2 linked regions of the Kluyveromyces lactis genome follow. Each later gene encodes a partner of the first gene's protein in a complex. Links are inferred from orthologs where the notes say so. Each region holds a gene or a part of one and is shown on either strand. Other genes may lie near its edges. The genes, in order: CFT2 and PFS2.

Region 1 (3,935 bases):
GAGTTTGAATAAACCAAATCTTCCCATTCTGTATTCACTGGACACCTGTAAGACCTTAGGTTCCCAAAAGCACAATCGATGAACTTGACGTTACCCCAGACACTGTTACTAAATTCGACACATAGGGATCGAATGTTGCGGCATTTGATGTTCTTGAAATTGGCTTCTGAACACATTGGGGATGCCCTGATTGTCAAAGATTCTCTCACGAAGGATCCATCAACAAGATCCCTTTCAGTGTTACTATTGTAACTGACGAGAGTTAAATGGTCGCATGGTGGTAATACAACTCTCTTTCCTGGTGGCACTTGGAATTTTTCAATCGTTTTAAGCAGGGGACAGTATTGTAGATCATCGACTATTGTAGTGTTATCCTCACATTGCAATTGATTCACTGTCATAATCCTAGGTGCAATCACTTTCTTACCCCTTCTTATGTTCAAAGTGAACAGCGTTTCCACGTCATGTAAATAAGTAGTCTCAAATATCGTGTCGATATCAAACATGTCAACTTCCTGGTGATTAATATCTCGGTTGGCGAATATATGTAATTCACATAATCGTAGTTGGCTTTGACAATGGCTTAGCTCTCTGAAATAGAACTTGGAAAGGAAATTGGTAGTCGTCTTATACATGAAGCATAGATTCTTTAGAGTACCCATCCCACTTAGCCCTCTACTTAATTCACATAATGCCGTCGCCAATGGGTCACTGTAGCAGCGATCGGATACGATGACAATGAGAACGTTGTCAAACTTCCGTAGAAATTCGCTCAACACAGGAAACTTGAACGTATCTGTATTTACGCAAGCGGTGTTTCTCTCATCAGATAACAACTCATAATTGCAAGGATCTGCTAAGGTTTTTGATGATTCCCTATCCAAATCCCAAATCTTCAATACACCAAGCTTGCGCTTTATAATTGTTCTAAAATGTGAACCAACCTTACTCCATGCTAACAGACTCTCTAGACTGTCTAGTCCGCTAGTTACTACACGATCAATAATTTCGATCGGAAGACTCATTACTTTTGTACCCTTAAATCTTCTTCTCCTCCTTCTTATCATTAGCAAATCTGTCAAAAGTGTCAACTAATGCAGCTTATCTTGCACGTTGTAAACTAGGTCCTTATAATTCAACTGATTTCAAGTACGCTGGTATATCCAAGATGCCTTTAGACTTCTTCCAGTGTTTGGGTCAGTTGAGCAATCTGTTCCGTAATCTGTCGCTTTATTCTTTAATATGCTGACTCAACCTCAAAGAACGTTCGGAATACATTTTGACACTTAAAGTACCGATAAAATTGTGGATTTTGTTGCCTATAATTGTAAGCAATGAAATATGTTTGATATTCCACCTACTGGACCGTACCAACCTACAGATTGCAGCAGTATCTCGTCCAATAACAACTTCCCTGTCTCAGTTTGGCCTCTTAATCCTTCTTACTGACATTATATCTCATTACCCGGACATAACATGTCAAAATGATACTCAAGGCATCAACATTAAGTTCATTTAAACAGTACATGCAAATAATTGAAGAATGAAGGATAAAGGAAGAAGAAGAAGAGATTGCCGGCACTGAGGACACCTTTTCCTTTCCCATTCCAACCAGTGGATTCTCATTGTTTTTCAAATATAGAAGTAACTGTGCTCTCAAGATGACATACACCATCGAAACATGTAGGGATGAGAAGAAGCGGTTTGAGGGAACCATTGTACGATTCAACAATGTAATAGTATTATTGGACCCAGGATGGAACGGTGAAGGCAGTTATGAAGAATGTGAAGAGTTTTGGACGCAGTACATATCTGAAGTTGACATTGTTCTGATTTCCCAGCCCACAATTGAATGCCTTGGGTCCTATGCCATGATGTTTAAACAGTTTTTGCCTCATTTTAGGTCGAGAATTCAAGTTTATGGGACGTTACCTGTATCAAATCTAGGCAGAGTCAACAGTGTTGACCTTTTAACTTCAGTTGGGATATTAGGACCGTTTTCTAATGCCGTCATGGACCTAGAAGATATTGAAAGCTCCTTTGACTTGATTGAAACGGTGAAATACTCTCAAACGGTGGATTTAAAGAATAAATTCGATGGGCTCTCATTAGAAGCACATAACTCAGGGTATGCTCCCGGTGGTACCATTTGGACGATAATCACTTCATCAGAAAAAATATTGTATGCGCCTCGTTGGAACCATACAAGAGATACTATCTTGAATAGTGCGGACCTATTAGACAATACTGGAAATCCAACCAGTTCCATGATGCATCCGACTTCTGTAATAACCAACCTTTCTATTATAGGCTCAGCTGAACCTCAGAGGAAAAGAGTAGAACATTTCACTGATACCATGAAAAGAGCTATACAAATGAATAACTCTTTACTGGTACCAGTTGAAGTAGGAGGGAAACTATTGGAAGTACTAGTCCTAGTTAACAATTTCTTATATGAAAATATGAGGGGTGGATTGAAGTATGATATTCCGGTGTTTCTAATATCTTATTCAAGGGGCCGTTCTCTCACATATGCTAAATCTATGTTAGAATGGTTGTCCTCGCAAGTAATCAAGACCTGGGAATCTCGAGACAATCGGTCTCCATTCGATGTTGTATCTAGATTGAGGATTATTACTCCTGAGGAATTGGGAGGTTACACTGGGCAAAAGATCTGTCTTGTTTCCGAAGTTGATGATATTTTGTCACAAACGATAAACAAACTTTGCTCTAAAGATAAAGTAACGATCATATTGACAGAGAGACATCCAAATACCCCAGCACAACATCCCTTACGAAAACTTAATGATAAATGGCAACAAGCAATAAAGAATGGGAGTAGAAGTGCATTGGATGGCAACCCCATTAGCATATCTGATTCGATGTCACTTCGAATCATGAAGAGAACAATTTTAAACAAGAAGGATGCGGAGAAGGTGAGAGAAATGATTAAAACTAGAAATGAGGTAAGAGAGAAAATTATCGAAGAATATACGGCTAAGACCAATGACAAAGCTCAAACAAAAACAATACTTTTTGATGTTGATGATGAGAGTAGCGACGAAGAAGGTGTGGATTCAATGGATGCAAGAGGCAAGAATGGATCGGGAAACGTTAAAGTGGAGATTCCCGTAGATATTACTTCCAATGATAGTGTTTCCACAAATGAAAAGCACCTTATGTTCCCATTCCATCCAGCAAAGCTTAAATCTGACGATTACGGTGATGTGGTCAACTTAAAGAGATTCTTACCACAGGAAGAATCATATGACCAAGCACAATCTTTAAAGCAATCTTATAGTAATAACGATTATGATGAAGACGATGACGATGATACATATGAGGTACTTGATTCGCGGATTAATAAATCAAAGAAAAGAAAAACAGATCATAATCCTAGGAAACAAGAAAATAATGATGATATTTCTTACTTGGACCCATTGAAAAGTGACATTTATAAACGAGCAATTGTGGAAACAAAAGTTAACATTCGTTGTTCTTTGGTATATATCGACTTGACAAGCATAGTTAATGCGCGGTCGATAGCAATCATCTGGCCTGCAATCAAACCAAGAAAAGTCATTGTGCTGCCATCAGCTGCTCCTGTTGATAACCAAGTCGTGGTTAATCTAACAAAGAGAAATATTGACATATTGGTGACTGAGTTCAATAATTCGGTTGAGATGGATACATCTGTCAAGGCAATTGATATTTCTATCGATCCATCGCTCGACCAACTTCTAAACTGGCAAAGAATCAGTAAATCTTTCACTGTGGCACACGTTGTTGGTAAACTATTGACAGAAACTGACCCAAAAGCCCCACATCGGGAGAAGGTTATATTGAAACCGTTAAGCAACCCGTTAGCTTTACATTCTGGAAGTTCTCTAAGAATCGGAGATGTTAGACTACCGGAATTGAAAAGAAGACTAACT
Region 2 (3,627 bases), about 420 kb from region 1:
GATTACAACAGTATCATTCGCAGTTTGTTCAATTCAGCAGAAGCGAATTCGACCACTATTGCAAAGAAAATGCAAGAGTGAACGAAGGTTCTCACAATCCAAATTTCGGTTTATTCTTTTTCCATATCATGAACGCAGGACAATTTTCTGCAGACGATAGTAATATGTACTACTTCCCCTCGCAATACTGTTCCGATACAGCAGAACTTATCAATACAATGGAATATTTCATGGAGAATTATTCTAAAATGTACGGATACGGATACATCGAAAAGGCTAACGAATTTTTGAAGTATGGGACATCGTCCCCTACTTCTCCTCAACCATCCTCTTCCCGTGATAGATCTGATGCCATAGATGAAAATGTCCGAAAATCCAATATAATGACGTTGCACGAAAGTATCAATGATACTTATCTACAAACGTTGTAATCTCTTATACCATATGATTTGGCTATATTTATTAGAGTTTGAATGCCAGTGCTCCTTGCCAATTGATACACCAATTATAAAAAAAATATTAATGACGAAATGATATCTTATAAATTTAATGACCTTTTGACCGCCAGTTGATTAAGCGACTGGAATTGTAACGACCTCCTAACACTTTTTTGTTTTTATTTCTCGGTTCTTTTTAACACTTTTATATATTCAACAACTACTGATTCTTTTTTTACCTATTTAGTATAGTATTTTACTCGTTAACCTCTATTTTAGTTTATTCAATCGATACAGTCTACTTATTAATGATGAAGAAAAGGTAGATTTACATTTAATCTGCTTAAATAATATTGATGCTATAATTTCCATGACTTTCAATTGTCTTAAAAACTTAGGCCTGGTAATCCTGATCCCAAACCTGGTAAAGTACTGACAGATGGTCGCTCAGGTTCAACTGATCTGGAACCGTCGCCATTTTCATTATTATTGGAGTCTTCACTTGGTGGCAAAGCAACACCGTGTTCTGTTTTGTTTCTGACAGCATTAATGTTATTATTGATACCGAAGTACCAAGCATTAACTTTTTCATTGTTATATGTTGGATCATCAAAGGCGTTTGGATCGACTGCTCTCGATCTCGTCCAGAATCGAATAGTCCTATCTTTCGAGGCGCTAGCCATGATGTGACCAATTGGACTATATGCTAATGATGTAACACATTTTTCATGTGCATATGGAATGTTGTGTGTAGGTTTGTTTGGCTGATTTTCCTGGGATAGATCGAAATGTTTTATAGATCCATCATAGCATCCAACGGTAAACACTGTTTCATCGATTGGATGCCACTGTAATGTCATGTAGTCGACATCATCACGAACACTGAAAAGCTCTTTAGCCTGTTGTCGTATATCATATACCTTGCATGTTTTATCCTTCGAAATTACAGATAGTAAGTTTCCCTGTTTGGGTTGGAATTTCGTCGAGATGATAGTATGTTTAAAACCAAGCATGGTGGATACGCAGCTACCACTACGCGGATCCCAGAATTTGATAAGATTGTCTTTGGATCCTGATACGATTAAACCCATCTTCGGATGCCAGTCGCATGATTTGACGTCCCAATGATGGCCTGATAGCACCCTTTCTTGTTGTCCGTTGCTAAAGTTCCATATTTTCAACACATTATCATCAGAACAACTGACAAACTTCTGGTCGGTCGGACTAAACGATATTTCCCTTACACATTCCATATGTGCTTGGTCCATGACTTTAACCATATTAAAGTTTGGTTGCCAGATCTTAAGCTCCCCATCAGCGCTACCACTAACCATCCAATCCCCTGTATGTGAGTATGTCATCACGGTTACTGCACTATCATGAGCCTGCATAATACTTTCGAAATTGAAACTGGATCCACTCCATAATGAAAACTCTCCATTGTATGTAGCTACCACTAACCTTCTTCCTTCTGGCGTCCACGTAAGAGCCGGAATAACGTGCTTTACCTTATTTGATGAAAGATGCGTAAATTTGGTTGCTGTATTGATGGCATGCCCATGAAAACCATAGGCATCTGGCGGTAGTATATGAGCATTATATGAGGTTTCTGCCTCTATATATGACGAATTCTCCTGGCCATGCTTCTTCAAGAAATATAGTCTATCATAAGATGCAGAAATGTCAATTGTTCGTCTTTGCGATGTATACTTTTTAGTTGTGGTGCCCTCGGTATTAGGATCCATGCTATGTCTTTTTCAAGCTGAGACCAGGCTGTGTTGAAATTTCTGAGAACAGTATGAATAGTAGTTCACCTAAGTTTCGTAATGTGAAACGTTGGCCGTGTCTTTTGATACATGTTTTATGCATTTCCTACCTCTCAATATCATTAAATGCAAGTAATATTCTGATTTCGGTAGTTTTTGATGCCAGCTCGATGTTGAAGTTGCTTCAAGTAAAGAAAAAAAAATAGATCACGTGCAGCAGACCTTAAGCATAAGAATGAAGCTGATTCAATTACTTCTGTAGTATGGATTTAAAATACATATGTCCGTTAAGAAGTAGGAGCGATTCCCCTATTATATATAAGTAAATAATTTCCATGCGCGGCACGATATTCATATCTGTTGAGCTTGAGTAATTTATAAGTACTCTCTATGTCCTTTGATAATTTTCGGGTAGAGCATCCAAACTATGTTGAATGCCAAAGAACCAAGGAAGCATAGAAATGGATAGTATTGGAACCCAAAAATCTTGTTTGCAAACCCAAAAGAGTATGTTATTAATGCACCACCACACCCTCCGAAAGCGATTGCTGTACCAATACCACTAACTTGTTGATGTTTCGGTAGGATTTGGATTGCAACAACACTTGCGTTAGGGAACAAGGGACCTATGAAGATACCAGCGCCAAAGATCATCAACGATAAAACAAAGAAATAGAATGTCGATGTGGAATTGATTAGATTGATGATAACGAATAGGAAAAAAAACAATGAACAAGTCAAACCGTACCAAACGCTTGACCTGTATTCATTTTTGAACCTTTTTGTAACAAAACCAAGACCTAATCTACCGATAGTGATCCCAGACCAGAATGACGCAGTAACAAATGACATAAGGAACTTCTCACCTTTCTTATAATTCAACAAATATGTGAATAGCCATGTCCCAACACCAATTTCTGTACCTAAGTACAAGAATAAGAAAAATGCATACAAGAAAATCATCGGAGGATACTTCGATAACTGGTACCATTTTATCTCTTCCTCATTTTCAATACCACCTGATTCATCGGGGACTCCTACACAGATGTATCTGTATTTGGTAGCAGTTTCGTATTTAAAGGCCCCCATGCAGAGTGCCAACCCCACAAGAGCAAACACCAAAGGGACCCAAAAGATATAAGACCAATCCAAATAATGATCGAAGGTTGTAACTAATGGTGGGGTTACACCAGCGGCCAACCCGTATATTCCATGAAGCAAACCCATCCATTCATTCTTTCTAGTCTCTAAATTACCAAAGTAGAAATTACCTGTAGAGTCAACAAACCCAACACACATACCTAGCGGAAAGAAGCATATCGCATAAAGATAGAGCGAATATGGTTTTAGGGCAAGAACCAAGTAGGTAAATGCAGCAAGTATACATGATGCTGTCATTACGCCTCGAGACCCCCATTTTTTAT

Evidence for each region.
Region 2: the proteins of CFT2 (region 1) and PFS2 are in contact, whole or in part, in a cryo-EM structure (PDB 7ZGQ), measured with the Saccharomyces cerevisiae proteins. The link is inferred for Kluyveromyces lactis from reciprocal best matches to the Saccharomyces cerevisiae genes CFT2 and PFS2. Residues at the interface, in NP_013216.1 of Saccharomyces cerevisiae: Asp547, Asp548, Tyr549, Gly550, Thr551, Val552, Val553, Phe555, Met557, Phe558, Leu559, Pro560, Asp561; in NP_014082.1 of Saccharomyces cerevisiae: Ser186, Ser187, Asn188, Ser190, Lys191, Ile203, Glu212, Trp227, Glu230, Met231, Gly232, Leu233, Leu245, Asp247, Pro248, Arg249, Ile254, Ser255, Ser256, Ile291, Ser294, Met295.

The regions. Positions count from the first base shown.
Region 1 is NC_006041.1:1,063,261-1,067,195, reverse strand, and holds the start of CFT2 (cleavage polyadenylation factor subunit CFT2), read left to right. Parts: upstream 1-1,661; coding exon 1,662-3,935. Other genes in the region: KLLA0_E12035g (uncharacterized protein), read right to left, coding at 1-1,025. UniProt on the Saccharomyces cerevisiae protein: RNA-binding component of the cleavage and polyadenylation factor (CPF) complex, which plays a key role in polyadenylation-dependent pre-mRNA 3'-end formation and cooperates with cleavage factors including the CFIA complex and NAB4/CFIB.
Region 2 is NC_006041.1:644,321-647,947, reverse strand, and holds PFS2 (cleavage polyadenylation factor subunit PFS2), read right to left. Parts: upstream 2,183-3,627; coding exon 824-2,182; downstream 1-823. Other genes in the region: PFK27 (6-phosphofructo-2-kinase), read left to right, coding at 1-431; BSC6 (Bsc6p), read right to left, coding at 2,579-3,627. UniProt on the Saccharomyces cerevisiae protein: Integral and essential component of the cleavage and polyadenylation factor (CPF) complex, which plays a key role in polyadenylation-dependent pre-mRNA 3'-end formation and cooperates with cleavage factors including the CFIA complex and NAB4/CFIB.